Linked DNA regions of Rattus norvegicus. The protein of the gene in region 2 interacts with the protein of the main gene of each other region in a biochemical or structural test. Links are inferred from orthologs where the notes say so. Each region holds a gene or a part of one and is shown on either strand. Other genes may lie near its edges. The genes, in order: Rnf40, Ube2a and Uba1.

What was found.
Region 1: the proteins of Ube2a (region 2) and Rnf40 form a complex in vitro, tested with the Homo sapiens proteins (3 studies listed by BioGRID). The link is inferred for Rattus norvegicus from reciprocal best matches to the Homo sapiens genes UBE2A and RNF40.
Region 3: of the proteins of Ube2a (region 2) and Uba1, one has a biochemical effect on the other in vitro, tested with the Homo sapiens proteins (6 studies listed by BioGRID, with this or other methods). The link is inferred for Rattus norvegicus from reciprocal best matches to the Homo sapiens genes UBE2A and UBA1.

Annotation. Positions count from the first base shown.
Region 1 is NC_086019.1:191,642,734-191,652,073, reverse strand, and holds the end of Rnf40 (E3 ubiquitin-protein ligase BRE1B), read right to left. Parts: intron 7,137-9,340; coding exon of another isoform or gene 7,128-7,136; exon of another isoform or gene 7,055-7,127; coding exon 6,914-7,054; intron 6,840-6,913; coding exon 6,738-6,839; intron 4,837-6,737; coding exon 4,660-4,836; 3' UTR 4,340-4,659; downstream 1-4,339.
Region 2 is NC_086039.1:120,975,670-120,986,699, reverse strand, and holds the start of Ube2a (ubiquitin-conjugating enzyme E2 A), read right to left. Parts: upstream 6,617-11,030; 5' UTR 6,479-6,616; coding exon 6,435-6,478; intron 6,285-6,434; coding exon 6,204-6,284; intron 5,823-6,203; coding exon 5,797-5,822; intron 344-5,796; coding exon 314-343; intron 1-313. UniProt on the Homo sapiens protein: E2 ubiquitin-conjugating enzyme that accepts ubiquitin from the ubiquitin-activating enzyme E1 and transfers it to a E3 ubiquitin-protein ligase. In vitro catalyzes 'Lys-11', as well as 'Lys-48'-linked polyubiquitination.
Region 3 is NC_086039.1:4,071,304-4,081,578, reverse strand, and holds the start of Uba1 (ubiquitin-like modifier-activating enzyme 1), read left to right. Parts: upstream 1-889; 5' UTR 890-1,064; intron 1,065-5,426; coding exon 5,427-5,543; intron 5,544-5,685; coding exon 5,686-5,744; intron 5,745-5,829; coding exon 5,830-5,998; intron 5,999-6,085; coding exon 6,086-6,220; intron 6,221-7,231; coding exon 7,232-7,338; intron 7,339-7,576; coding exon 7,577-7,667; intron 7,668-7,773; coding exon 7,774-7,906; intron 7,907-8,398; coding exon 8,399-8,496; intron 8,497-8,730; coding exon 8,731-8,877; intron 8,878-9,004; coding exon 9,005-9,181; intron 9,182-9,277; coding exon 9,278-9,382; intron 9,383-9,468; coding exon 9,469-9,549; intron 9,550-9,656; coding exon 9,657-9,812; intron 9,813-10,275. UniProt on the Homo sapiens protein: Catalyzes the first step in ubiquitin conjugation to mark cellular proteins for degradation through the ubiquitin-proteasome system.

The DNA.
Region 1 (9,340 bases), on a different chromosome or scaffold from region 2:
TGTAGATAGGTTCCTGGGCTTCCTTGTAGAAAGGGGGGCAGAGCAGAAACCTTGTGGGGAGACCTGTTCTCTTGGTCAACCCTCTCAGTTCCAGCTACACCACAGGACGACCTAACTGGCTCAGGAAAAGGTCCACCAGAATTAAGTCTGGAAGGCACAATGGAGTCAACTTTGTACCAGACCTAGAGCCCTCAGAAGTGCCCTTGGGGAAGAGCCCAGCACCCGTAGGCAAAGGAGTGCAAACATAGGAGAGGGGTGGAGCTGATCTGCACTTAAGGTGAGACTTAGAACTGATGTTGAATGCAGACAGTAACTCGTAAAGTACTGGGTGTGAATCGTGAATCGGGGTGAGGATTTGAAACCATCCTGACTACCCCACCCTAGTCTGAAGTGGGTGGCTCCCAGAAGTCTTAGCCCCCACAAAGGAAGCCACGCTCACCTCACTTGTCCCCATGGAGTGAAGGGAAGTCCCATTTTGAGTGTTGTGTGTCAGTAACAGTGTTGTGTCACCTGTGGTCATGTTGAATAGTTGGAGAATAAAGGGAATACGATTTCCTAGGTGTTATTACTTTTTATCTCCTTGTTCAGCCAACAGCAAAGTTGTTCACTTCCAGAACTAGGGCCCATGGGACCCCAAAAGCTCAGTATTGTCCCATTTGCCTTTCCCCAGGGGCCTTATGCTTCCTGTCCAGTGTTTGCTTGTAGAAGGTTGACAGGTTTATAGAACTTTAACATTCAGTCCCTGTGAGAGAGGTCTGGTAAACTGCATGGCTGCCTCGGGGCTCTAGTCCTGGTTAACTTGGGCCCAGCTTTGCAACCTCTTTGGCAGCTTCTCTGGCTACAACACCCACAACCTCCCCTGTAACACAGGGAGAGCTCCCAGGTCCTCATCCTCAGAGCTGGCAGCTACCTCTCTGAGTTCTCATGGATCCTGGGTCTAGCTCAGCCTCTCCTGCAACCTGTCCTCTTTGAGTGGTACCCTGGCTTGTTGTCCCATCCCCAGGATAGCCCAAAGGTTCTTGCCATGGGGCAGGCTGGGGCTCTACAAAGTGCAGCCATTTACCTAAGACCCACAAGTAAGTCATGGCGAAAAGTTAGAGTGACCTGGAGATCTTTGGGCCACCTCACACCGGCCATGCCTTTTCTTCTTGTGGTTGGGACTACTAAAAGGAAGCCCTCACGCCCGGCTGGCTTCAGCACTGTCTGTCTTCTGAGTCTGGTCATGGCCATCGAGTGGCTGCCTTGATCAACACTAGCCACAGCCTGTCTCTTAAGGACTCTGGTGAAGGCAGAAAGGTGGATGCATAAATAGTGTGCACGTGTGTTCTATTTGCATGTGCTTGGGCATCGTGCACAGGCAGCACCTGCAGAGGCCTGAAGAGGGCGTCAGATCCCCTAGAACTAGAATTACAAATGGTTGTTAGTTGCCATTGTGTGCTGGGAATTGGACCCATGTCCTTTGGAAGAGCAGTCAGGGCTCTTAAGGCCATGTTCACCAGCCATTCCTCCTGTCCTCCCTTGGACTTTATTGTACCTCTATCCCAAATCCCAGAATAAGCTGTCATTCTTTCCCTTTCTGTTCCAGGAATATGGGTGGGTGTGGTGGGGAGGGGTAATTGCCATTTCATGTTCCTGGGTCCCGAGTCCTGAGAACACTAAGGAACTCCAATGAGAGGGGGACCAGAGCAATACCTGATTTAAAGGCCAGAGGCCATGACTGTTAAAGTAGGTTGGATGACAGTTGGAACTAACTACAGGGCATTGGGCCTCAAGAAGGAGGGATCCTCTAGATGGAAGTCAGGAGTGGGGTGGGGATAGAGGTTCAAACAGTTAGGGATTGACGCAGAGCAGTCTGGGGCTCAAATTTCACAGGGACTGCCTAAGATCATGGGAAAATAGATACATAACAGTAACAAAATTACAGTTATGAAGTAGCAACAAAGTAATTTTATGGTTGGGGTCACCACAGCAGGAGGAATTGCATTAAAGTGTCTTAGCATTAGAAAGGTTGAGAACCAATGGATGGAGATGCAGCTACAGAGCAGAGGCCAAAGCCTGAGGAGGGTTAGTGCTGTGAGGAGTCGGGGGAGAGCGAGCATCCCTCATACTCCTTAGTGAGAGGGGAAGGGAGCATCCCTCATACTCCTTAAACAGTGGGTTTCAGGCCTGGAGCTTGGGAAGGAACTGTAGGTACAGCCAACCTATGCTGTTGGCTCTTGATAGACACCTCAGAGAAAGGCAAAGTGCAAAGGGAAGTCTGGTTAGGGTTGAAGGAAGAGATCAGAAGGCAGTGAGCACGATGAAAAGACCAGGAGTATAGCACCAAAGGCTTGGGTAAGTTCTGAGAATAGTCCCCATCAACTGCTCTCAGAGGCAGTTGCCTTAGCTCCGGCTGAAATAGGATCATATCCAATACCGAAGCCACTTGCTTGGAGCTGGCCAGGGGAGGTTCTGACTCAGGATCTCTGACTTGAGAGAAAAAAGCTTGAGTCTTTTAAGACCGATCTACACCAGTTTGACAGACTGATGGTTTGTTTTCATGGCCCTGCCAAGATGGCAATACTGTTCCAGGCACAGGGATGCCCATTCAACTTGAGCTTGACATGAGGAAAAGGCTTTATGTTGGAAGTTACCACCCCACATGAAACTTTGAGTACCCCTAACCCATCTATTTGAGGACTCCCCTCTGAGGGAATGGTGTCCATTACTTAGATCATGCTGGGAGAGAGAGGTGATACCCCAGGGCTCAGGCCCCTTAAGACTACTAGCTCAGTTCTTCTAGCTCTAGGTTTGGTCTCTATGATGCAATATCCTGCGTTTCCCCCACCTTTCCCACCCCAGCACTCCAGCCGGGGTGGCCTTCATGGTGGCCCAATGTCATCTCCTGCTGCTACTCGTGGTTCCGCGAGCGTTCCCATCGCTGCCAGCTGCACGCCGGAGGTCACCGTAGCCCGCATATCTGTCTCCAGTCCAACTTGGTTCGGCCACTGCGACCCCACTGAAACCAGGCGCAGTCAGATAGCCGAAAGGGCCCGGAGTCCTCACGAAGGAAAGACTTCGGAAAAGGTTGAAGAGCCTAGAGAAGGTATGGCTGTTGCTAAGCCTGAGGCTACAACCATGGCTATGACTGCTGCTCCTACGCCCACCTCACCCTCGCTTAGTTCTGGTCATGGAGCTAATCCCAGCGTGACTACTGTAAAAGCGCCACCGGAAGAGTCGACAGCGCTCTGAACCTAGAGACAACACTCCACGTTTGAGCAAACGGTTTCCAAGGGTCCAGCTAATAGCCTAAGCAGGCACAATGAAAAGCCACCCTGCTGAGTTGTCGTGGTCTGTGTGTTCCCAGAGTAGGGGTGGGTAAAGCCTGCAAGTAATACTGAAATGTGGCCAACAGAGAAACTTGGTCCCGGAAGGTAAAGGACTACATATCCCAGAATGCAACCCACAAAGGTTGCTATCCATATGGCCAATGCCAGGGAAAGGGCATAGACAACCCATATTCAAAAGCTTTTCCATTGTGAAGGAGGTGGGGGTGGGGGTGTCCTTGAAGATTTGCTTGCTACTGCTAACCCAAGTAGTTATCCTGTGGGCTGGAATGGGCTCTCAAATGTGTCCAGCTCCCAACCAACACAGGGACGTGCTTGCCAGGTGTAGCAGTTAGACTTCGGTTTAGACCAAGAGGACCGGCTTCTCTCAGCCTAGGGTTGGGTATTTATTCATAACAATTAGCAGCCCATACACGACGCCTCTAGAGCAGAGGCTGTGAGTCCAAAAGATCCTGTAGCTATCTGCAGCGCCATCTCCCAGCTCCACTAGGTCCTGTCTCTAGTGTTCAGGAGTACCAGTGCAGGCTAGCTGGAGGACAGGCCAAGCTCTTCTACCTGGAATGACTGGAAGTGCTAGATTGTCTCTTCCCTCCTGGTAAGTTGCACCTCCACAATTAAGACCACCAGGATGAAAGAAAGCAGGGCTAGGGCCAGGTACTCAAGGGACCATCAGGATGTGTGAGGAAGGGTAAAGTGGGCTTAGGAGAAAAGCAGGAGATTGGAAAGTGTCTGGCTAAAAAAAAAAAAAAAAAAAAATTGATGACCCTGAATCAGACTATGAGCAGGCAGTGTCCGTAACTGCAGAGTGTCCCTGAAGAGGGCAGACACCCAGGAGTGCACCTTCTTAACACAAAAGCTACACAAGGGTACAGCAAACTCCACTGGAAGGCTAAATCCCTGCCAGGCCGAGGGCTGAGGAGGTGAAGAAAGGCTCCCTGGGTCAGGACCCAATGCCACGCAAGTGGTCCCTGGTCACTACTGAGCTTGTGCAGGCTTGTGGTGAGCCCTCTCCTGGTGGAGGGATCCCCTTTAGGGGCAAGGATGTATCTGCCTTCTCAGTAGAAACAGGTCTGGCCAGCTCCCGAGGTTACAGTGGGATGTTGTGAACCCGGGAGTCCCAGAGGCTGCAGATGTGACATTCAGGAGATGGCACTCAGCTCGGTTAGTCCCACCTCTCCTGCATGCACCAGTGGCCCCAAACCATCTCGGCATAGAGGGGCTGGGCTCATGGAGTCTGGAAGGGAGGTTGGGGCCATTGCCCCCGGGGGAGTGGGGAGCTGGGGGCACAGCCCCTAGGGTATATGGATGTTTCAAAGTCCCCTGAGTTTCAGGTTCAGCTGATGTACACACGGTGGAAGTCGTGGGCACCAAAGGCAGCGTTGCACTTGGGACACTTCCTCTGGCGGGCCTCATAGCGGCCCCGCACACATTCAAAGCAGAAGACGTGGAAGCACTTGGTAAGCACAGCGTCCTTCTTGCGGGTGTTACAGCAGGGGCAGGTCAGCCGGGCCTAGACCAAACACACACATTAAGTTTGGAGCAACTCTGACAGGCCCCAGACTCCAGTCTAAGCCCACCAAGTGGTTGAGGCTTCTAATGTGACCGTAACTTCTGAAGTGGGAACCAGCAGAGCAGGAGCCAGGCTCAGAGCCAAGTTTTCAAAATTCCAAACTAGCCCAAGTCACTTAGGCCTGTAGCCCCCAGCACTCAGAAGACTGTGACCATGGTCAGCCAAGGTCACACAGTACAACCATCTTCAAAAACAAGACAAAACCAACCAACCAACAAACAAAAAACAAAACAAAACAAAAAAACAAAACAAAAAACAAAACAAAACAAAACAAAAAAACCCAAACTAGAAAAGTAGCAGAGTCTAGGTTCTCCTAAGGACAGGGGTCCAGCCTGAACTCCATCTCTTGCCTTATCAGCTTTTTTGGGCGAAATCCCCACTGGTCACTTCTTTTCTGCTGTACCTGCTCAGTCACTCCTGAACAGGGTAGAGCATGAGAACCATGCTCTCTGCAGACTTGGTCAGACCTACCCCTGGAACCCAGGCCCTGCTGTGCACTTTCCCCAGTGCCACCAGGAGGCCTCAGATTCGGCTCTAGTCACTACCTTGGGTGAGCACTGCATGGCAAGTGTCTGGCCCATCTGGAGTCTCAGTCAGCCATCTCAACTCCTCCAGATTACTGTTTCCCAATCTCTCAGGACAGTGCCATCCACACTGTTGCCTTCCCCGAGAAGGCCCAATGGGGGAATAGCTCATCACTGACTCTGCCACCCTCTCCACTACAGAGACCCTTGTTCCCCCCAAGTTCACAGAGTCTCAGCAGCATCTGGCAGGGATTGGCTGGCTCCCTTCCTTACCCACTCCTCCCATCAGCACTTTTGCTTACTCCTCAGGCTTCACTCAATGCCTGTCACTTAAAGATTGAGATTCCCGAGGTGAGAAAAACGTCCCCTGTTCCTTCTGATGGCAAAAGCCCTCAACGGCAACCACAGCCCAGTGTGGCTTCCAATTCTGTTGCAGTTGACCTTGGCTTCAAGTGCTTTTCCAGCTTCCCAAGGGGTCCCAGAGGCTCCCATCACTCTCAGAAACACCCACAGCTAATGCTCTGCAAAGTGACGTCTGCCCAGCTCCTCCATCTCCGCCCTGGACATCACTGCTGTCCTGCCTATTCTATCCTCGTGTGGCCCATCCCTGAGCTCCGCAGTCCCACCTTAGTGTCACCTTAGCTGCTCTCTCATCTCTGGGTATAGGGTTAGCTATATATTAGTTTCTGACTCAGCGACTGCAATGCTCTAACACCACCCCTTCTGCAGCCACTTCTGGCCCCACATTTGGCCACCATCTTGATTAAAGACCCTTGATGGGGCTGGGGATGCAGCTTGGTGGTAAAGTGTGTGTGTAGCTTGTATAAGGCCTCACCCAGGTTTACTCCCAAACGTTACACGCTCCTCTACCTCCCTAATGACAGCTTCTCTACTGTGTGCCCACAGGCTACCAAACCTGCCCACATCCTTCAGAGTCTTCTGCTGCTCAACTGTCTCTCTCCTATAACCACAATGGCTCTACCTGGGGCCTTTCCTGTTCCAAAAGCTCTCACCTCCATTCTTCGAGCTTTGGGTCTGTCTTTGGTGACAATTCCTTTCAGGAAGCCTGTTGCTACACAATTCTCCATCCCATCCCCAGGACTCTGGAGACGGCCCCTGGGTTCCCTTGACTCATCACTGAGATGGCAGAATTACTTTAAAAAGTCCCAGGGTCCAGGTGTAATCCCTCTGCACATGGCTTACATACGACAAATGCTTAGCACTTGTCTGACTCCACAAGTGGCATTTTCTGCTGCCCTACTTCATTTCCAGCCACAGAGACTACCACCCCACTGTCCCCAGCCAGTCATATCCCACCTTGTACTCCTTGATCTCCTCCTGCAGGATCTCATCCGCATCTGCATAAACTTCTACTTTCCGCTGTTTCTCTAGTTTGCGCCGCAGCCGGGAAATGTCCTCCTAGAACAACAGAAGGCAGGCTAAGGACCTGCAGGTCTCACACTGGTAACACATCAGCCCTCCCCATTACACACCTGAGCTCTCTTGAGGTTGAAGCTCTCTTTCTCCCGGGCAGCCCGGCTCTCTGCCAGGCAGGGCTGGATCTCTCGAAGCCGAGTCTGCACGTGCTCCAACTGCACCTTCAGGTCCTCAGCCAACTGGGCTGCTTCTACAGCCTGGGGTGGGCGGGAACAGGAAGGAGAGGACCTTGTGCCCAAGCCTGGGAACCACAGTCCACTGATGCTTCTGTCAAACATCCTGAATGACAGAATGGCATGTACTGGAGCTAACCCTGCCTGTGGCCCTCAACCTCACCTCTATCCTATGCTTCCTCATTCCTGACTGCGGTGCCCCCTCTGGTCTTTGAGCCTCCATCAGGCTGGTGTCTCTGTTGCTATCAACTCCTCTAACATGCACACTGTCCTGTGGACTCGGCTCTAAAGTCACATCTCCAAGGAGTGCCATTTCTTTTTTTCCACACAGCCTTAGTTTCCTTCATCAGTGTTTGAACCAGGTATAGTGGTCAGTATTTGTTATTCTAGCAGTTGGGAGGCTGAAGCAGGAGCATCACTGAGAGTTCAAGGCCAACTTGGAACACAGCGAGAATTTGTCTTTTAAACAGCAGAGTCTGGTGCGATGGTGCATGTCTTTAATCCCAGCACTCAGGAGGCAGGGGCAGGATCTTACTTCAAGGCCAACCTGGTCTACAGAGTGAGCTCTGTAACAGCCAGGACTACATAGAGAGACTGTCTCAAAAGACAGAGAGAGAGGAGAGGGCAGGAGAGGGGAGAGGAGGGGAGGAGAAAGAGAAGAGAAGAGAAAGGAAACAGAGAGGAGAGGAGAGGAGAGGAGAGGAGAGGAGGGGAGGGGAGGGGAGGGAAGAGGAGGGAGGGAGGGAAAGGAGAAAGAAAAAAGATTAAGCGATAGACAACTGCATTATTTTCTTTGTGGATTACTGGTGGGGAGGCAGGACTCACCCAGTGTTGGTCAGCATAAAGCCCAGCGTGTGTAACAGGGACACAAAACAGTTTACATGAATATATTCCCCAGAATACTCCAATAGGTATAGAACCAATGTAAATCCGCTATGTCTTTTTTTAAATTACTTTTTAATAACTTACTTTTTATTTTATGTGTACTGGTATTTTGTCTGCATTCATGTCTGTGTAAGAGTGCTGGGACCCCTGGAACTGGAGTTACAGGCAGTTGTGAGCCACCATGTGGTTGCTGGGAATTGAACCCAGATCCTCTGGAAGAGCAGCCAGTGCTCCAGCCCCTGAGCCCTCTCTCCAGACTGCCAATCTTCCACCTCAATCCTCTCGCCATTTCCCCATAAGATAAGGCCTCTACATATTCCAGCATGAACTGGCTCAGACCTGCTTTACAGCTGAGGATGGCCTTGAACTTCCTATTACCTCTCAAGTACTAAGTTTATAGTTATTTTACACCGCCATGCCGTTTGTGCAGTGCTAGAGACTGAACCCAGAGCTTGCTGCAGGCTATGTAAGCAGTCTACTAGCTGAGCTACATCTTCAGCCATGCTTGTTAGGCTTAAACTAACACTGGAACTCTCAGCACCCGGGAGCCGGAGGCAAGAGGACCAAGAGCTCCCATGGGGTAGAGATCATTCGGTGGTCAGTGGTAAGCACACTTGCAGGTCTGGCAGAGGACCTAGTTTCAGCTCCTAGCATCCATGTGACAGTCCACAGTCATCCCTAACTCCAGTTCAAGGGGGATCTGATCCTTTTTTGGCTTCTGAGTGCATCAGGAAAGCTTGAAGCTTGTGGTACAAAGCCAGCTTGCTCTACCCAGTGAGCTCTAGGATGGCCAGAGTGAAATAGAGACCCTGTTTCAGCGCACACACGCACACCTGTGCACGCGCATAAGAAAACAACTATGGGGGGTTGGGGATTTAGCTCAGTGGTAGAGCGCTTGCCTAGGAAGCGCAAGGCCCTGGGTTCAGTCCCCAGCACCGAAAAAAAGAACCAAAAAAAAAAAAAAAAAAAAAAGAAAAGAAAAGAAAAGAAAACAACTATTGGGCTAAAGAGAGAGCTCAGGGGGTTGGGGATTTAGCTCAGTGGTAGAGCGCTTGCCTAGCAAGCGCAAGGCCCTGGGTTCAGTCCCCAGCTCCGAAAAAAAGAAAAAAAAAAGAGAGAGAGAGCTCAGTTGAGGCAGTGATAACCTTACAAGCATGTGGACCTGAGTCTCAGAACTCACATTAAAAAACAAAACAAAACAAACAAAAGAAAACTACATAGTAAAGACCACAGCTCTATTTGACAGTTACTCAATGACTTTTAAAATGACCTCATTCAGAGTATATGCTGGGTACACATAGCATGCCACACCAGCGGAAGTCAGAGGGTAACTTGTGAGCATTAGTTTTCTCCTTCTGCCAAATAGATCCCAGAGACAGAACTTGGGTCATCAGGTTTAGAGGCCAGTGTCTTTGCCCAGCTGAG
Region 2 (11,030 bases):
TAAATTATTGCTATGAAGAAGCCTACACTTTAGGTAGAGTATAACTTATTACTAGTTCCTTTAAAGCTAGCAATTTGTCTCCTGCTGCCTTTCATTAATAGGTTTATTTCTACTTAAAGAATACTACTATATCTGATGCATAACAGTATCAAAACTTTGACCTTGCTATGAATGAGTCACAAAATTCCAGAATCATTTAAAATACAATAGTTTAAAATACAATATCTATGAAGATGGGTAAGTAGGTAAAGGCGCTAAGCCTGAAAACTTGAATTTGATTCCCAGAATCCATGAAGTCAAAGGAGAAAACTACCAAGTTGTCCTGTGGTTTCCACATGTGTACCTACAAGCATACAGAAAATAAATAAATGTAAAAAAGGAAGGAAATGCTACAAAGCAAAACACACACACACACACACACACACACACACACACACACACACACACACACGAAGGGATAGGGGAAGAAAGAATTGCTTAAAAAACAACAACAACAACAAGGGCCTGGGATTGTAGCTCAATAAAAAGCATTTTGTTTAGCTTGTTCCAGGCCCTGGGTTACATACATAGAACCACAAACAGAGAAGTAAACAAGATGTAAAACACTGAATAGTACATTTCCCAACTACTGTTACTTTAGAAACTGTTTTACTCTGAAGGCCATATATAGCTAGTGTATAAAGAAGGAAAGGGAACAAAGTTAAGGAATGGGCATCAGAGCACGCGTATGCTTATGATCTCCTGCTTATAGTTTTCCTTTTTGTTGTTTGAGACAGGGTCTCTATGTGGCCCTGGCTACCCTGGAACTCCCTACATAGACCAGGCTGGGCTTGAACTCATACTCATCTACCTCTGCCCCTGAGTGCTAGGAGTAAAGGTGCATGCTGCTACACCCAGGAATCTTCCTCTTCTTGAGAAGTAAAGCACAGTCCTTCCTTTACAATACTGTAATGCAAATGGAAATAGTAGACCATATTCAAATACTTAGAATTCTCTTATGTATAAACAGATTAGTGATAAAATCTCACTAAATTATAGGTAATGGATTTATGACCAAGAAGCTGCTCTAAAACTAGGAAGCCTTAACAGCACACAGAGACCCCAGCTACTCTTAGCTGAACCTTCATTGAATGTGGTACCCAAAGAGAGTAAAGCAATACACAAGGAAAGCAACTGCAAACACACCACAATGGCTCTCAGAGTACAAGCTCAAGGCTAAGTTCCTGGCACATACATGGAGGCTCAGGAGATCCCATGCCCTCTTCTAGCCTCCACGGGCAACAGACTTACACATGGTGCACAGACATGTGGTAAAACATACAGGTATCACTGATTGTATGTAAACCTCAAGTTTTGGATGTGCAAAAGAAGGCTAATAATTAGTATCCACTGTGACACTGCTGTAAGGCTTAAATGTGGCAGATGAGTATAGTCATAGTCATAATGTTCCCCATAAATGAACAATTACTTTAGCTATAATTCTGCCTCATATATCTAGAGCTGGCTGAATGAGAGAAAAATACAAACTCTAAACTTTACTACCAGTCAGAAGTACACAACTAAATTCAGATATTAAGCAACACTCATTTCCTGTCACAGAGCAAACACTTAAGATTAAGTATATATGTGGCCAGCTCAAATTCCTTGGCTGAAGCCCTCTGCTTGTGAAGCCATAACTTTGTCCTGGAAAAGCAACAGGAGTCTTAACCTAGCTACTACTGAGCGAATCTAATCTTTGTAAAAGTTTTAGCTATCTTCAGAAGTGAAATGTGTTTTTGTTCACTTGATTTAGAAATTAAGACTTACCCAAATCTTATTCAATATATACATTTAAAAGACATTTCTTTCAGATACATTAAGTAAGGGGAGCCTCTTCAGTAGAACCCTCAATGCAATTTATGAGATCTAAACAAATGTTAAGGCAATTTTAAAAATCATAGGCTATTAAACAATTTCAAACTAGCGCTCACCTTCAGAGGGCTAGGCTTCAAAATAATGAAAGGTGGGGCTGGGGATTTAGCTCAGTGGTAGAGCGCTTACCTAGGAAGCGCAAGGCCCTGGGTTCGGTCCCCAGCTCCGAAAAAAAAGAACCAAAAAAAAAAAAAAAAACAAAATAATGAAAGGTTAACACTCATCATTGTTGTGTGAAATCTTTACTGGTTTTTACTAATTTTTTTTAAAACTTCCTGAGGAGGTCAAAATGTTTTAAGTATCAACACAAATACACACGGAGGCCAGAAAAAATGTGTTAAATGTCTAGTATATGGCAATAAAGACTGATATAGTTGAATTGATGAATATAAGTTCTGCCTAAAGACATAACATAGATTAAATGTCTTTGAAAGTGAAGTTAAGAGTTAGACTTGATGGCCTATGTGACAACAAATACCTCTAATTCTAGCATTTGGGACAGGGAAGCAAGAGGATCAGGAATTCAAGGTCATCCTCAGCTACATATTTAATTTGAAGCCAGCCTGGATTACAAGAGACCCTGTCTTAACACACATACACACACACACACAGAAAAAGTTCTTAACCCTTTCTGCTCATGTTTCTTGTCATTTGACTAACTTTTCCTGGAGAAAAAGCAAATTTATATGGACTTAATTTTGTTTTGGTGACTGAAAATTCATCATCACTCTAGTGGACTTTAAGAGATACCTTTTTAGGGGTTGGGGATTTAGCTCAGTGGTAGAGCGCTTGCCTAGGAAGCGCAAGGCCCTGGGTTCGGTCCCCAGCTCCGAAAAAAAAAGAACCAAAAAAAAAAAAAAAAGAGATACCTTTTTAAAAGGAAAAGATACACACACTCAAATTCTTTAGATCACATATATCATAAAAAGTGACTACAATTATCCCACTCAGTAATTTTGAACATGATAAGAAATATATCCCATAATTTTTGTATTTAAGTTATATGCCTTTAATTCCAGCACTCAGGAGGCAGAGGCAGGTAGATCTATGAGTTCCAGGCCAGCCAAGGCTGCAAAGAAACCCTGTCTCAAAAAACAAATTTTTCTTTGCATCAGATTTCCTCTTCTTAACTAGGATCTGGTTCAGAAACAACTACCAAGAAATAAAGAAAAGTTGTGTGAGGGCTTTTAATTTGGAAACACATTTGTGATAGCAAATCAGCTGTTATTTATTTCTACCAAATCTCTTCCCTAATTATAAATTCTCCGAAAGTAATTAGAAGTAATGAAAAAAAGGCCAGGATTGGCTTTTGCTAGTGAGAGCTCTAAACAGCTGAGGAAGCAATCCATGTATACTAGACTGTTTTACAGAATCAGAGACAGATACTGTCATTTAGCTTAACTCCTTTCAGCAATGCCATGTTAGAGATAGATACACACCATCAAAATCAACACCAGTAATGTCAAAGGCAACAATACAGGAAGATAATGGAGTCTACAAGTACCTTTTCAAATGATACTACTTTAAATATCAGGAGCACTCTTGAAATCTTAAGTAGCCAGACTTTAGCAAAATGATGTGCTATTAATAAGCTGTGCCTAAGATAAAACAGTCTGAGCAAAATGGGGGTGTGTGTGAAAGTAAAGCCCATTATTGCTGAAGTGGTTTACACCAGCGGTTCTCAACCTGTGGGTTGTGACCCCTTGGGGGTGTGCTGAATGACCCTTTCACATGGGGTCACCTAAGACCATTGGAAAACACATTTATTTATATTACAATCCATAACAGTAGCAAAATTGCAGTTCTGAAGTAGTAACAAAAATAATTTTATGGTTGGGGGTCACCACAATATAAGGTAATGTATTAAAAGGATGCAGCATCAGGAAGGTTGAGAAGCACTGAACTACATATAAAACTTATCTATAAAGACTTAGCGGGGCTGGGGATTTAGCTCAGTGGTAGAGCGCTTAACTAGGAAGCTCAAGGCCCTGGGTTCGGTCCCCAGCTCCGAAAAAAAAAGAACCAAAAAAAAAAAAAAAAAAAAGACTTGGCACAACCTTTGATTCTAGAATTTTCAAGACACAGGCAGATGGATCTCTTGAGTAGAGTGCCAGGATAGCCAAGGCTACACAAAGAAACCTTGTCTCAAAAAACAAAACTATATATATCTCGATATAGTAGAGAAAAGTTAAGTCTAATTAGCTCTTTCACTGACTAGCTCTTACATTAAATTCACCAAAGTTGTGTGCCCTAGAATCACTCAGTCCTCTGTCATTTCTTTTTATTGCGGCAGGTAACATTTACCTAACCAGTGAGATAGAGTAAAAGCTAACAGTATTCTAGTAACTATCAATGGTTTCCAAAGACTATCTTAAGTATTTGAGACAAATTCCAGACGAGGCTGATTTTGACTTACCTCACAGCGTTTGGTTACTAGCAGTAAGTAAAAGCAGTCTGAGTCAGCAACATATATAAGAAGTAGTTTTAGGGGGTTGGGGGATTTAGCTCAGTGGTAGAGCGCTTGCCTAGGAAGCGCAAGGCCCTGGGTTCGGTCCCCAGCTCCGAAAAAAAGAACCAAAAAAAAAAGTAGTTTTAGAAATGTTTCTGTTATCACCTTCAAACTGAAGGTGAATGTGTCTATGTATCTGTGCACATTCGTATGTTACTAAAATACCCCCAATTCCAGAGAATTTCATGAACTCAGAAAGTTCTAATCATCCTTTAAGTGAATTAAACCTTTAAAAGGTTCAACCCCCCCCCACACACACACACACAATTTGGTTTATGCATATAAAACTGTATCACTGACCATTTTGATTCTGCTATTGTAGTCATTCAAGACATTACCAAATAGGTAATGGGACTGGAGTAAGGCTTTACATAGACTTGTTATAGTACCTATTTCAACTGCACAGGAATCTGTAATTATGTCAAATTAGAAGGGGGCTTTTTCTTTGTTGCTTTATTTTTGAGACAAGGATTCACTATGTAACTCTGGCTGGCCTGAAATTACAGTAAGCCAGACTAGTCTCAAACTCATAGAGAGCTGCCTGCCTCTGCCTGCTCTGCCTTCCAAGCGCAAAACTTAATGGCATAAGACTCCACGGCAGCATTCAATATATCAAATTTTGAAGAGACCTTAACGTGTGTTTTTAAAAGTTAAGCCTAACTCGTTTGTTATGCACCTCTTGATACAAACTCAACATTCAAGTAGGCTGGACACTGGGTACTACTGTGAGACAAATCTCAATTCTGAAGTTGCTTTGAGATTACCAATTAGAAGATCTAAACGAAAGCACACACTGTAAATGAATTTAAAATCAAGGAACAACATTATACTGAAATTAAGTATGTAAGAACATCTTTAAAGAAGTGAGGCTGATGTGCCTTCTGAATCATATTGTTGAAGCCAGGGAATTGTATGTCAGGGAATCTTGCAAGCATTCATTCAGCCCTCAACAGAGCACACACTAAGTACTGCTGAACACACTTCTTGCCCTCGGGATGGAACGCATAGTGAACCAGATGGTCTCTGGTGGACCGGTTTTATATTGAATTATCTCCGTGGGGGCTAAAGTTAGCAGAAACACTGCTCGAACCTCCAAAATCCTGAATACCAGCACTGTGGCACTTCTTTTAAAAAGTGACTACTTTCACCCAGGATATATTAAACGGAGGGGGAAAAAAACCCAGAAAAGTGCAGTTTTAGTTAAGCATAGGACCATCCAGAACAACCTGCCACACACTGAATTTCACTTGAGCCTTTGGTGGGCAGAAGAGGCAGGGCAAAGCTGCTTCTTTAAGCTGGGGATGCTTGCTGATGCCAGGGACCCCCTTCTCCCTGGTGAGTAGGCTCCTGAAAGGTGGGCTAAGAAACTCTCTTACCATCCTCAAATGGGGTCCCTTCGGGCCTGCAACACAGGAAAACAAAAACAAGAACCGGTTAGTACCAGCCAAGGGGGTCCACACCTTCCCGCAGCCTCTGAAGAGGCGGCTCTGTCAAGGTCTCCCATCCCTGCCCTCCGTCCAGCACAGCTGTCCGGTGTTAGGGAAGCCACCCCTGTCCCCTCGGGGCTCTGGAGGCAGCGCAGGCCGCCACCGCTCCCCACCCCGCCCCCCTAGAACCCCAAACGGTTCCCCTGGCAGCGAGAACGGAGCTAATCGAGGCAGAGGCTCCGGGGAGGCGCCTAGGCCCAAACAACCCCAACTATCTTCCCCTTTCCCCCCGCGGCTCATCGAGGGGCCGGCCCCGGTCCCCTGAGTCCCCGGCGAGGGCCGGACCGCAGACTCACCCAAAAATGACCGCGTTCCAAACCATTATGTTGTTCTCCGACGGGGCTCCACTCACTCCAGCCGGAGGATCCTCTTGTAACCTTCAGAAACACACAGCGGCTCCCCTCAGCCCCGGGACTCGCGGCCGGCCCCCCTCACCACCACACCCGGAGCCGTTCCGTTTCGGGATCCGCCCTGTGCCCCGGGCAAGCAGCCCCCTCAAGCGCCTTTCCCTAACCGACGCCGGTTACCTCTTGAAGTCCCTCATGAGGCGGCGCCGGGCCGGGGTCGACATGGCTTTAGCAGGGTCAGAGGTAGGGCATATACCAGGGTCCGCGGTCCCTGAGGAAGCGGAGGAAGCCGAAGCCGAGGGAGCACCGAGAGGAACAGCACTACCTCTCCGAAGCCGAGGGTCGGTCTGGCGCCGGCTAAGCACCACCCCTGAGTAGACGGGGGCCGAACCAACCTGAGGAGAACGCGCGGGTGGGGTGGGGGGGAACGCCTTACGCCGGGCGGACTGTACCAAGTCGGCTACGGGGCGGGGGAGGACCAAAGTTGTTCTGTCAGTCACGCCCCGCCTGAGAGCCCCAATCCAGGACCGTGGGGCGGTGGCGGTCAAGTTCGAGGGGAAAGGCTAAGCGGGCAGCAAAGGCAGCCTTCAACTGTCGGGAATTTAAAAGGGAAACGCATGGGCTCCACTTGCGGATTTGAAGAGGAACCCCTGCGAAGTTTTCTTTTTATAGTTACTTACTTTCTTTGGGGGGGGGGGGGTCGTGGGGGAGGAAATCTTTCTCTTTCCTTTCTTTTTTTCCTCTTTTGAAACAAGGTATCCTGTAGGCCAGGGAAGCTCTAACTCACTGTGTGGTTGAGCATGACTTTAACTCCTGAGTCTCCTGCTTTCACCTCCCAAATGCTGGGATTACAAGAGTGCACCACCATACCAATCTTTTAATTACTTGTTGTTTTGTTGTTGGCTCCCTGCTTCTTCCACCTTCATTGATTGATTGATTGATTGATTGTACGGTTGGTCTCTTGTAGTATCTAATGTAATACAGGCTAACTCAAACTCACTGTGAATCCCAGAGGCTGGGCCTTGAGGTCACCTCAGCCTGCCAGGAATATGCCTTAACCTTTCTTTGGTTTTGACAAGGCATGATTTATTAAACTGCCAACTACGTCTAGGATCGGGGAAAGAGGAGCGGAGAGAAGATTAGTTGAAACAGGAGAGTGGGGGAAAGAGTTGGCACAGGCAAACAAGTTCTCAAAAGGCAAGGATGTTAGGGTCATGGTCCTGCAGACACGAGAGGCTGGGGTAACTACTCAGAATCATGGGGAAAGTAATAAATAAATAAATAAATAAATAAATAAATGGCTCTTGAGTGTGAAAATGGACTTTGGGTCCATCTTCTTTGAGATGAGGGTGCACAATTCAATCCCAACTTTTAAGTCTAGGGCTGAATAAAATGACATTGGGGCAGTGGTGGAAATGGGAGCTTCAGGCAGGGAAAATAGACATTTTACAAATGCCATGGGCACTCACAACTTGTCTCTGGAACCACATTTCCCCTTGGTAATTGATCAAGCCAAGCAGCTAGTTTAGAGGAGTCCAAGGTATGAGCTTATCCAGCTGAAGAGTATTGGAAGGACAGGAGATGGCAGGGAAAGGTAGGCGCTCGGGGGAAAGCTGCAAGTCACGGGCAGGCAAGCCTCACAGGGAGTATAGGCACCTGCAAAAGCAAGAACAGTTTGAAAGAAGCATTTTCAAAGATCAACCCAAAAATCACTTAGTAGGCAGACAAGAAGATACTTATTTAAGAATGCAGGAAATGATGAGAAAGGCAGGTTTGAGTTAAATCCGGGAGAGTTTTGAATGTCAAGCAAATGGACTCCTTGGAAGGTAGTAGAGCCAGGAAGCGACACCATTAGAGCTGGGTTAATCAGAGTTTGTCCCGAGAGAGCAAGAGAGTACCTGAAGGGCTCTTGTGGTACTGTTCAGGAGAAACATTGTACCAGGCAATCAAACCTCCCAGAGGCCAAGCCCATCCTTTACCATGGGACCTACTACAGCTTCAAATCTCAACAGAGATTTTCTCTCACATTAAATCCTGCTCACGTTTTGAAATCTCCCCCCACACACACAGTATGAGAAAATGTTTTAAAAATTGAGACTGAGGGGCTGGAGAGATGGCTCAGCGGTTAAGAGCACTGACTGCTCTTGCAGAGGTCCTGAGTTCAATTCCCAGCAACCACATGGTGGCTCACAACCATCTGTAATGGGATCCGATGCCCTCTTCTCTTCTGGTGTGTCTGAAGACAGTGACAGTGTACTCACATACATAAAATGAATAAATCCTTTTTGAAAATGAAAAAAAAAATTGAGACTGAGGGCTGGAGAGATGGCTCAATGGTCAAGAGCACTGACTGCTCTTCCAGAGGTCCTGAGTTCAAATCCCAGCAACCACATGGTGACTCACAACCATCTGTAATGGGATCAGATGCCCTCTTCTGGTGTGTCTGAAGACAGCTACAGTGTACTTCTATATAATAAATAAATAAACCTTAAAAAAAAAAGAAGTAGAGATTTGAAGTAGCCATTAACAGAAGTAGGCATAAAGGGTGAAGGACACATTCAGGAGAGGAAATTTTGAATGGGGCTTCCTGAGCTCCTGGGAGTGATGAAACAGCCATGTGAAGATGTCCAGAAATCATCAGGTGCACAGGACTAGAAAGCACATACCAACAGGAGTGATTTTACTAGGTGCTTGATGGTAGGTACCTCCCTAGCTAACAATTGTTATCCCCGATTAACCCCAACACATATATCCATTAAAGCAAGTTTCCCTAACAGTGTCATATTATGGCTGTTGGTGGGATAAGGTTACCAAACCAAATTTCAAAAATCCTTTTCCCCTCATTTAGAAACTTGAAGTCTTCTATTTCACACATGAAAATAGCAAAAGCAAGGCCTGCAAAAAGAGCATTTGTTCTCTTTCACTGCTTAACTGATCACCACAAACCGCAGGTCAAGTCCAGTTCCTTATGCTTGTAGGACTCGGGGCCCTATTTCATTATTAAATGCCAAACTGGGACCACTCCCAGCTCCCAGAGGCCACCTCCATTCTTTGCTATGTGACCTTCTCTCTTGCTAGCTCCTTCACATACTTTGAACATTTTTTCTATAAGAAGAATGCAGTGTACTTCTCTAACTTGTCAGATTACATCAGACCCAACCTTGATAATCTCTTTATCTTAAAAATCCTCTAAGTTCAGGTAAGTTACTTTTTCAGTGGACTGGAATATCCTCAGGATTTGCCTAGCATGTCTAAGGCTCCATGCCCCATCCCCAGTACCTAAATAAATAAATAATCAAACAAATAAAATCTACTCAATTTCTTCACTATAAAATCTAGATTAGGGGCTGGCGAGATGGCTCAGACGTTAAGAGCATTGACTGCTCTTCCAGAGGTCCTGAGTTCAAATCCCAGCAACCACATAGTGGCTCACAACCATCTGTTATAAGATCTGATGCCGTCTTCTGTTATGTCTGAAGACAGCTGCAGTGTACTTATATAAAATAAATAACTAAATATTCTTTTTAAATCTAGATTAAGCATTGGCTTAATATCTAGACAAGGATATGTGGGTGCACCAAGGACCAAAAGTCTGTAAAGCTGGCATCATTCCAACCCTGCCTTTCCCAGCAAGAGTGGGATCTATATTAAGTGTGTGGGAATCCCTCAGAGAAATTGCACCACCAAAACTCTATCTAGACGGTCTAGTGTGTCAAGACAAGCTTCCTGAAACAAGCCTATTTCAGTTTTGCTGTAAAAGAGACAAAACTCCAGTGAACAAGTGCATGAAGCACTTAAACCATATTCTGTGGAAGTGGATAGGCTGCCTTGTTTACTCAAGGAGTGTGGGATAATGTCACAGGTGAGGCAGGTACAAGATAGAAGGAGGCCTGTCATTGGACAAGAAGGAAGGATGGGCAGGAGAAAAGTTTAAAAGAAGTGGAGGAGATTGGAATGGAAAGGAAGAGACAGAAGGGAGAGGGAGAGAAGTAGTGGCAGGACAATATGGCAGGTTGTTACAAATGTTTTTAAGGGATGGATGTGTATTGGGCTTTGTATGTTTAGGTGGGCAATTATATCTTATCAATTGGGCCAAAGGTTATTGTGTTGTGTGTTCTTTCATGTGTAGATTTAAGTGTAATGGAGTGTGGAGCAGCTGGTCTGGGCTGCCACGGAGTTTGGATTTGTTTCTGGCATGAAAAGCTGCCTTGGGAACTAGATAGGTAGAGAGATTGCTGCCAGGCTCAGAGAGAGGCCTTCGGCAGTGTGATATGGGATGGAGCAAAGCTGGTGAGAGGCTTTGCTGACTGAGAATTAAGGTATCCAGCAGATATCTTGGGGCACCACAGTGCAGGACCTAGTGGGGGATAAAAGACAACCTTCCTTTTTTTATTTTTTATATTTTTACAACAACAAAGGAGTTCATATGTTCACTTTGTTGTTTGCAACAAGAGGCGAGCTGAGGTCTTACTCCATAGCCCAAGGTGTCTTGGAAATCACTATGTCGTGTAGCCTTAGCTGGTCTCAACTCATGGCACTCTTCCTGTTTTAACCTCTTGAGTGCTGAGGTTGCCACTGTGAACCATCATACCAAGACTGGGAGAAGTACTTCACAGGAAATAATGAAACATTAACTTGGAAAACCAACAGTGACAAGGTTAATTAAATGTCCTTAAATGAAAGGATGGGGGAATTTAGGCTCCACAGCCAGTTTTTCTGAGAGTTTGAGAGAGAGAGAGAGAGAGAGAGAGAGAGAGAGAGAGGAGAGAGTGCTAC
Region 3 (10,275 bases), about 120 Mb from region 2:
AACCTCAAACTAATGAGCCTTCTGCCTCCACTTTCCCAGTGCTGAGAGAAAAGTCCTGTGGCACCATGCATGTAAGCACAGCCTGTGCACTACCTTTCTTTTTGTGTCCCCACCCACCTCCACCACCTCGAGACTGGGTAGCTCTGGTTGTCCTGGAACTCCCTCTGTAGACCAGACAGGCCCCAAACTCAGAGATCCTCCTGCTTCTGCCCTGACTGCTGGGATTAAAGGTGTATACCACCACACCCAGTAGGTATAACCTTTCTTGACCTCTCTGTTTTCACATTGAGCTGGCTCCAGCAGCTTCCTTTAGTATTTAGGAGGCAGAGGAGTGCTTTTTTTTCCTGCAGTGACCCTGTTTCTTGCTTACTGGGTATTAGATGGAGCAATAAGGCAGGCTTGCTTCTTTTGTTCTATCCCACTGAGTCTCGTGCATTATTCATGAATAAGATGTAGCTTTGGTCTCCTTGATTCCCGCAGCTGCAAGATCATTCATTATTCATGAGCATTGGGTGTGGTTGGCATGCTTTAACATCTTCTTTCTGGTTGCCTAGTCTTAGTAAACCCATCACCTTGCTTCATAATTCACGATTAGGAAGAATGGCTTTGAGGTCCTTCCTTGATTTCTTTGACAGCTTAGCTGTAGTAATTCTTTATTCCTATTTCATGGGGCATGGCCTCATGCTCTACCTGTTTTTCTAGTTACTGCCTCCACAGCCACTTGGTGGAGCTGTTTTCCTTCTAGTTAAAGAAGTCCCAACCTGGGCAGGGAAAATACATGATTCATGAGTGGGCGCGGTCCTCTTGCATCCGGGTTTCTGGGGGTGGGGCTCAGGGTTTTGTTCCGGCCTTGGGCTCTGCCGCCGCCATCTTGTGTCGGCTGCTGGGGTGAAGGAGGGTGTCAAGGAAGACCACAACCACCGCGGTCGGGGGAGGAGAAGGCGACAGTGATCCTAGCTGGCCCAGGCGGCAGGGAGGAGAAGGAGAAAGAGGAGGGTGGCGGCCGAGCTTGACTTCGGCTCCTTGAGGAGTTGGCGGCGGCACGACCCGGGGAACCGGCATTGGTAATAGCTTTTCTCTGCACCTGGCTCGAAGCGCAAGGGCTCAGGGAGGTATGGGAGGGTCCCTGCTGGTTCTTTGCCAGCCCGATGTCTGAGTGCACTGCGGTGACCTGGGTATTAGGAATCACTAGACAAGTGGGTGTGGGGGTGTGCAAATCCTGGGGCGGGATGGATCATTTTTGTCTAGGACCACCCTATTCCCTTGGGCTCCGAAATCTGACCTTGACATCATACCCTTATCTCTGCTTCTGGAGGCTTCGGGTGTAGCACTATAACAAGATATCTTGATCCAATCCTGAGCCATGCATTTCCTATCAGAACTCCGAGCACAGTCTCCCATAAAGGCACCGGAATTCGGCGTCGCTGCTCAGGAAAGCCGTCCATACTTGTGTGCTATTTGAAGACCTGCCCCGAAATCTCCCTTGAGACTCTTCCTAGCCCTTCAGTATTTGCCCTCATGGCTTAAGAGGGGCCAGACTTCAGGAAAGGTCCGTGTGGCCTTCATCTCCGAAAGAAGAGCCTTGCCTAGCATTTTCATCCAGAGTTTCCCCCTCCCCCTCTCAGGATACTATCTGTCCTTAGAGCTGCCATCTGGATTAAACCCGGTGAAAAGCTCTGTGCCTGGCCTTTCCGCGGGAAACCCATTCCTACATTTGAGATATCCGAATACCACTTTGACATAGCATCCTCCAACATGGACGCCTGGCATTCTTAGACTCTTTTCAGCATCTACCTTTAGAGACTCTCCCTGCTTTTAGGGACTCCCCCCTTTTTCATGCTCTCATTGTTCTCAAAGCATCGTCTTCTCCATCAGCCATTCTTAACCTCCAGTATATTTCCTTTCTTCTCTCAGGGGACTAGACACGGGGGAGGACCTGTTTGGACATAGTTCTCCATTAGTGATCTCTTGCCACCATCTACTCTTTCAGACTCTTTATTTGTAGCCCCATCTGCCAGATGGTCTCATCCTAGACCCAAATTTTGCCTTCAAAGGCAGACCAGCATTCTAGTTTCTCTTTTTATAAATCCCTTAATCTACCAACAGGCCTCAGAATCTACCCTCATTCTTTTTAAAGGTTCCTAGTATTCAGAGACTCTTAGCATTTGCTTTTGACTTCACTCCCCTTCTCCCCAGCAGGCCCATTTATCTTCCACAGGAGTAGAAAACCTCAGTATCTATTTACTATGGAGTCACAGAATTGATTAGAGAAACCTAACTCTATTTGGAGATCTAGCCAATATTTGCTTGGTAACCTATTATCATCATTATTACAGAGTTTCACTGCCTCTGTCTGCCTCACTAGTGCTGGACTCAAAGGTGTATACCACCATGATTAGCTCTTTGTAACCTTTTTAAGGCTTGAACTGTCTGAAATTCATCTTCCCTTCACCCTATCAGCAGCTGTGGTACCTGTTTAGATCCACACAAGGCCTTTGTTGCTCCATTAGAAATCCCTCTCCAAGAGTCTGCCCTCAGAGACCTCTCTTAGCCTCTTAGCACTTAATCTCGTAGCTTCTTGTCACTACAGTGTCAACATCAAAGTCATTTTTCTGTGCATTCCCACTACTTTTGGTTGAAGGGTTTCTGTCACTAGAATCTAAGCCTGTCAGCCCCAGAATCTTCCTGTAGTAGTCTCAGGGTCTACATTCTCTCACCTCTTTCTAGAAATCCAGGTTTGAGTCTTTAATACCTCTGTCCAACACCCCCACCATTTATAAGGCGTCTTTTATTATCTCCTTCACAGCTCTTTGAGCTCAGTCACTTCCTCTGATGCCTTTCTTACACTCCTCAAGACTTCTCATTTAAAATCTCTCAGGAAGCTTGACAAGCCTCAGCATCTTCCCCTGTACAATATCTGTCAGCTGGCTCTGCTTCCTAAGCCTACCCAGATTCCCCTGCTCAGTCTTGCTCTAGAATATTCTCAGGCTTCAGTCATCAGTTTGGAGACCCCAGATAAGTTTGAAATGCTTTAATTTCAGCTTTGCCAAGTAGGTTTTAGAAAATAAATTCTAACAAAGAAGGCTGAGCACATGTTGAGAGAGAATGAATGGAGATTGGTTTTATTTTGTTTTTTATTGTTGGGGTTTTTTTGTATTTTGCTTTTTGGTTTTATTTTTGGATGGGAGTAGGGGAATCTCTAGCTCTTGTCCCAGAATCTCTGTCCCAAATTCTTCTGCTTGCCTTGATAAAGGGGCTTTCCAAAACCTGACATTTGAAATCTCCCTTCCTATATTCTTTTTTGAAATAGAGTCTCACTGCATAATTCAGACTGGCCTCAGACTTAAGAGTCTTCCTGGCTCTGCCTCCTAAGTGTTGTGGTTGTGGGCTTGTACTGCCACACCTGGCTTTGAAGTCTACTTTTGAACAGTGATCCCAAACCTGCTTACTTAGAGCCTTGCTGCCAGCACTGGGTGGGGGTGGAAAGGTTAAGGTCTGATAAAGAGCTCTCTGCTCTGGATTTTGTCTGATGTGGGGAGTAGAGAAAGAATATGCCTGGAACAAACCACCCAATGACAAGGGAAAGGAGATAACTAAGTAATGGAGGCCCTTGTGGGTGCCTTGGGAGGAGCCTCTCTCCTCAGGTCCTTGAATTTTGACCACAGATAGCCTCTTTAGCTTCATCAGGAGGACAGTTCCTTATCTCTCCATTTTTTTGGAGAAAATGGGCTTAGAGGAAATAAGATCTGCATGCCAAGTCACTGCCAGTAAATGCAAAATAGGAATTACCTCTGTCTCCATCCCAGTTTATCAATTCTCTTCCTACCCAAGTTAGATCTAAGCATTTCCAGCAACTTCACCAGCAGACTTCAACCCTAGGCAGCCTCCTACTTCCCCTCTTCTCCCTTCCTTTACCTCCCATCTCTGAGCAGTCTGAGCTGGACCCAAAGCCAAATTCTGACACTACTCATCTAGGAGAGCCATACAAACTGGACAAATGACATGAGCCAGGGGAAGTGAGAGTTCTCCAAGCTTTCACTTTCTATTTATGGTAAGAGAGTGGGCTTGTATAGTTCACGGGCATTGTTGGCATTACACAAAGCCCTTTCTCTTGTGACTGATAGGGTAGATAGTGAGGAGCGCTTGTCATTGTGTTCATATTAGAATGTGACAGTGCCAAGATGGAATCTTAGGTATGTTGGTGGTCTTTGGGGTCAGAAAAGGCTTCACTGTAAGAGTTGTATGAACAGAAAACTCAGGGTATAAGCAAAGGCTTGGTATGTTGAAAAGCTACTGGGCCTACAAAGAGATTCTAGGTCCTATCTTCTATTTATCTGAATCTACCACCATTAGACTTCACTTCCAACAGCAGGCTGTATTGTTATCTGCCTTCTCTGGGATCTAGTATGTCACTTGATCATATGAGTTCAGTTTTCTCATTTGTTCAACAGGGACTTTAAATCCTGCCTTGTAGGATCAGGACAATTGAGAGCATGAAATTTGCTAGCTCTGAGAAGTGGCTTGGACTTCAGAGTCATTGGATCTGGTCTGATCCCAGTTCAACCACTCTTCGGTGGGAACTTTGGTCAAGTCACCAAACATCCCCGAATGAAGTTGTTCCTTTCATGTGAGCTGAGTAATAGTTCAATTCCCACAGGGTTGCCCTGAGGACAGACAGAGACAAGGCTAGTAAAGTGCTTAGTGTGGCCTCTGACACAGAGAAGACTCCTAGGAAACAGTCATTATTATTACTGCTAACCTATTGAAGGAACGGACTTAACATGCTGAAGAGGCTTTAGAAGTGTGTATTTTCTCTCTTCATGCAACCTGCTTTATTGGCCTGGGTTATTGTCTATTCCTAAAACTGGAAGAAAGGTTTGGACTTTGTAAAGCTCTGCCTTGAGCCCTCCTAGGCCCTGTGGTCTGTATCTTTTTCTCATTTCAGCAACCCATAGAGCTATATCATTACCCATTTTACAAAGTGAGGGGACAGCTCTACATGATACCTATCAGGGACAAGATTTGAAAGCTGAGTATTTCCTGAGTTCACATCCAATCATCCCAGAATGATCTTCCTTTTACTCCATAGGATTGGCACCTTTCCCTTATGCTGAGCTAGGGAAAGATAAAATGACTTAGCAGTCAGCTGTGTGGATTTACAAGCTAAACCACCTTGGTTCAGATCTTAAGTCTCACAGCAGTGTGATCCTGGATAAGCCACTTCATCTCTCTGTGCCAGTTTCTTTCCTAATGTAGATTTGCTAATGCTTAAATCTTCCCCCACTTTTACCAGTAATACGTAGAAAAATAGTTCAAGGCCAATCAAGGCTACATGGTGAGACCCTGTATTTAAAACAAACAAACAAACAAACCAGAAAAATACCCATATATCCTAGGCTTACCTCTATCCTGTCTTTCTTCCTTAGATGTCCAGCTCGCCGCTGTCCAAGAAACGTCGCGTGTCCGGGCCTGATCCAAAGCCAGGTTCTAACTGCTCCTCTGCACAGTCAGTGCTGTCCGAAGTGTCTTCAGTGCCAACCAACGTGAGTATCTTCTCCCTGCAGACTGGCAGGTATGGTGGTAGGAAAGGGAGTCTTTTATATTATTCTCCATTTGCCCACACCCCACACCCCACACCCCACTCATGCATATTGTCCTGAACCCATTCTTGCTCTCTATTTCCAGGGAATGGCGAAGAACGGCAGTGAAGCAGACATAGACGAGAGCCTTTACTCCCGGCAGCTGTAAGTCAGGCAGGAAGGGGCACTGAAAGAACTTGATGGGGAAGGTGGGCTGGACCATAACCTGGAGTACCCTCTAACTTGACAGGTACGTTTTGGGCCATGAGGCAATGAAAATGCTCCAGACATCCAGTGTCCTCGTCTCAGGCTTGCGGGGCTTAGGTGTCGAGATTGCTAAGAACATCATCCTTGGTGGGGTCAAGGCTGTCACCCTACATGACCAAGGCACTACACAGTGGGCTGATCTCTCCTCCCAGGTATCTCTTCCCAACATCCTTTTCCCTGCTGAGATACCTACTTCTTTGTGCCACAGCCTAATCCTCCCACCCACCTGTCTCTTACAGTTTTACCTTCGGGAGGAGGACATTGGTAAAAATCGAGCTGAGGTATCCCAGCCCCGACTTGCTGAACTCAACAGCTATGTACCTGTTACTGCCTACACTGGGCCTCTTGTTGAAGACTTCCTTAGTGGTTTCCAGGTACTTGGTGATTGCTCAGCCTCCTGCTTGATTTTCATAGAAAGAACTCGTGTTTTGTATTGTTGGCACTATTCACTAGTTAATGAGTTGTCTTGGGCATCGAGCAGTATGCATGAGAGCAGAGAAGATGCACAAAAGATGAGACCTTGAGCCTGCCTTTGGGGAAAAGGTGGAGACAGTGTCCTGCTATGAGTGTAACTTTAGGCAGGTCACTTAGATCCTGGGCCTTGCTCTTTCCATTTCACAATAGGAATGGCAGCAGAACCGACTTCATGGAGTTCCTATGAGGAATAAGCATGGAAAATAGCAGTGTGGTCACAGGAAGGATGGCACAGGCATTTACTAGTTAAAAAGCCTAGGCTATGAGAGCTGCCTCAGGGGCTAAGGTCCCCAAGGGCTAAGGTACTGTAGCAACAACAATCAAACATAGTAGTAGGAGCTCATCCTGGTGGACAGAAATAGATATTCTTGGAGAAGGTAGAGAGAGCAGTTTTAAAATTGTGATGGAGTAGGCACCATCTTGAGACCCATCAACAGGTAGGTATTATAAGAGTGAGCTCAGGGGTTGGGGATTTAGCTCAGTGGTAGAGCGCTTGCCTAAGAAGTGCAAGGCCCTGGGTTCGGTCCCCAGCTCCAAAAAAAAAAAAGAACCAAAAAAAAAAAAAAAAAAAAAAGAGTGAGCTCAGACTTTGACTTCAGTTTCTTCCTGCCTGTGTCTCACAGGGCAGGGCATGGTTGTAGGCAGTTAGCAAACAAATGAGTCAGCTGCAGTCTGTGCCCAGTAGTACCATTCTACCTGGCCCAACGTGTTCTAAGCTTTCGTTTTCTGTCTGCTGTGTTTTCTTCTCATTGAATCTGATCCCCAGAAAGTCTTTAAGAGAGAGGTCTGGAGGACCAGGAGGATAACTGTCTTCAGGACTGCCTCAACCTCTTTGCACTAGTCTCTGCTATTCTTTTTTCTCCCCTTCCTCCTAGTTCTGGCCTCTTGACATGAACTCTATTTCTCCACAGGTGGTGGTCCTTACCAACAGCCCCCTGGAAGAACAGCTTCGAGTGGGTGAGTTCTGTCATAGCCGTGGCATCAAGCTAGTGGTGGCAGATACAAGAGGCCTATTTGGGTGAGTACCACTTCTGCATGCCTTTTTTTCCCCACGTCCTTTCCTTGGCCAAGACCCTTATCCCTCTTCTACAACCTACATTTCATATTGTGTATCTTCATCTCTCCCTGCATGACATTAGTGCTGTTGTATCCCCTGTTATGTACCAAGTTGGTTCAGCACACATCCAATGTACCTTGAAAGATGCCTTGGGCCTTGTGTGGGCCTCAGACATCAGTCCTCTTGTCCCTTTCTATAGGCAACTTTTCTGTGATTTTGGAGAGGAAATGGTTCTCACAGATTCCAATGGGGAGCAGCCACTCAGTGCTATGGTTTCAATGGTCACCAAGGTAAGGAAATCAGCCCCAGGGGTCTTGGCAAACAGCTAGGCAACAGCAACCTTCTCTGTACTCTTGTACCTTGACTTGCCTCTGAGGCTCACTCCTTTTCAACCAGGACAACCCCGGTGTGGTTACCTGCCTTGATGAGGCCCGACATGGCTTTGAGACTGGTGACTTCGTCTCATTCTCAGAAGTACAGGGCATGGTCCAACTCAATGGATGTCAGCCCATAGAGATCAAAGTGCTGGGTGAGCTGGGACCATGGGGGTATCATAGGGGAACTGGCTAGGAGAGTTAAAAGAAAGGAGTTCAGAGTGATGGGCACTATATCTTGAGTGCCTGAAGTGGATCAGAGAATCCAGGATCCCACAAGAGCCAATGGACATGGGGAAGAAGGGCCAACTATGTTTGAATTGTTAATGAGCATGGGCCCCCAGGGTCTGAGTTGAGGAGAAGGAGCTTCTTGTGTTTTGAACAAACAGGGCAGATCAAAAGATCTGATCATGTCAGTGATCACCTGACATTAGTGTAGACCTGGGACCAATGACAAGAGAGTTTCATGGTGTCTGAACTAGCTCTGAAGCAGAGGGGAGATAGTTTCCTATCCCCAGTGGGGATTGTGGTTCAAAAAGTACCTGGTGTCTACATTGGGTCAGGCATATTTTTTTCCTTGTCTCTTGAGTTTTGTAAATTTAAGAGGGCATGCAAGATTGACAAGCTTCCCTATCTACTCTATCTAGGTCCTTATACTTTTAGTATCTGTGACACCTCCAACTTCTCTGACTACATCCGTGGAGGCATCGTCAGCCAGGTCAAAGTACCTAAAAAGATTAGCTTTGTGAGTATTGGTTCATGGCAGGTGGTTCTAGAACAGTGAGTAGTTCTCAACCTTCCTAATGCTGTGACCCTTTAATACATACAATTCCTTGTATTGTGGTGACCCCAACCATAAAATTATTTTCATTGCTACTGTTATGAAATGTAGTATAAATATTTTGCCAGAGGTGTGTGCCTCATACAGTTCTAAATTTACTATTCATTTCTTCTCTTTTTATATGCTGCCTTCCCACAGAAATCCTTGCCAGCATCACTGGCAGAGCCTGACTTTGTGATGACTGACTTTGCCAAGTATTCTCGCCCTGCCCAACTGCACATTGGCTTTCAAGCTCTGCACCAATTCTGTGCTCAGCACAACCGACCACCTCGACCACGAAATGAGGTAGGTAGTTGGGCCAGCTAGGATAGAAGTCCTTGGTGCTAACGACCTACCCATACCTGTGCTTGTTACCTGTCCATCCCTTGATAGTAGCCTGGGAAATCCTTACTTGTTTCCTTTGCCCTACCAGGAAGATGCAACAGAACTGGTGACCCTAGCTCAGGCTGTGAATGCTCGGTCCCCACCTGCAGTACAACAGGACAACGTGGATGAAGACCTTATTCGGAAGCTAGCTTATGTTGCTGCTGGGGACCTGGCACCTATAAATGCTTTCATTGGGGGCCTCGCTGCCCAGGAAGTCATGAAGGTAAGTGGGGTTTTGTCTTGCCTTTATTACTTGCTATCCAAATGTGTAAGGGCCTGATTAACACTGGCCACTTCCTCTTTCCTTCTCCTTCACTAGGCCTGTTCTGGAAAGTTTATGCCCATCATGCAGTGGTTGTACTTTGATGCTCTTGAATGTCTCCCAGAGGACAAAGAGGCTCTGACAGAGGACAAGTGCCTCCCAGTATGTGAATGGGCTGGAGGGAAGGCATTATTGGGGGTGTTTCTTGGGAAGCTTCTCTCTGACCCATCTCACTTCATATTCCTCAGCGTCAGAACCGTTATGATGGGCAGGTAGCTGTATTTGGCTCAGACCTTCAAGAGAAGCTGGGCAAGCAAAAGTACTTCCTGGTGAGTGGTCTCCTTGGACACCCTGCGTGGTCACCTCCCTTGATCTCTGGCCACCCCTTCTGGGATCATCTGACTTGCTATTGTATCTCTTCTTGGTCGTTTCTTAGGTGGGTGCAGGGGCCATTGGCTGTGAATTGCTCAAGAACTTTGCCATGATTGGGTTAGGCTGTGGAGAGGGTGGAGAGGTCGTGGTCACAGACATGGACACCATTGAGAAATCGAATCTGAACCGACAGTTTCTTTTCCGGCCCTGGGATGTCACGGTGAGAAGGATGGGAGTAGGAGATGGCTCTCTGACCTCTTGTTTTCCTATCTTTTTCTTACCTATATCTATGGTATTTCTAGTAGAGATATACTTATCTTTCCTTGGGCCCTTCTCATCCTCTGTTCTGTCATTCATTCAGCTCTACCTTGAATCAGGTCTTTTCATCTCTTTTTCTTTTTTTTTGGTTCTTTTTTTCGGAGCTGGGGACCGAACCCAGGGCCTTGTGCTTCCTAGGCAAGCGCTCTACCACTGAGCTAAATCCCCAACCCTTCATCTCTTTTTCTGAACAACCGTCAAGTCGGTTTATTTCTTTTTCTTTTTCAGTACTGGGGGGTGAATCTAGAGCTATCTAGCATGCTGCATAGCTAGCTATAACGACTGCCACTGAGCTGCCTTTTCATTTCATTTATTGTACATCTTTTTTCCCCATTAATTTATTTATTCACTTTACATCTCAATCA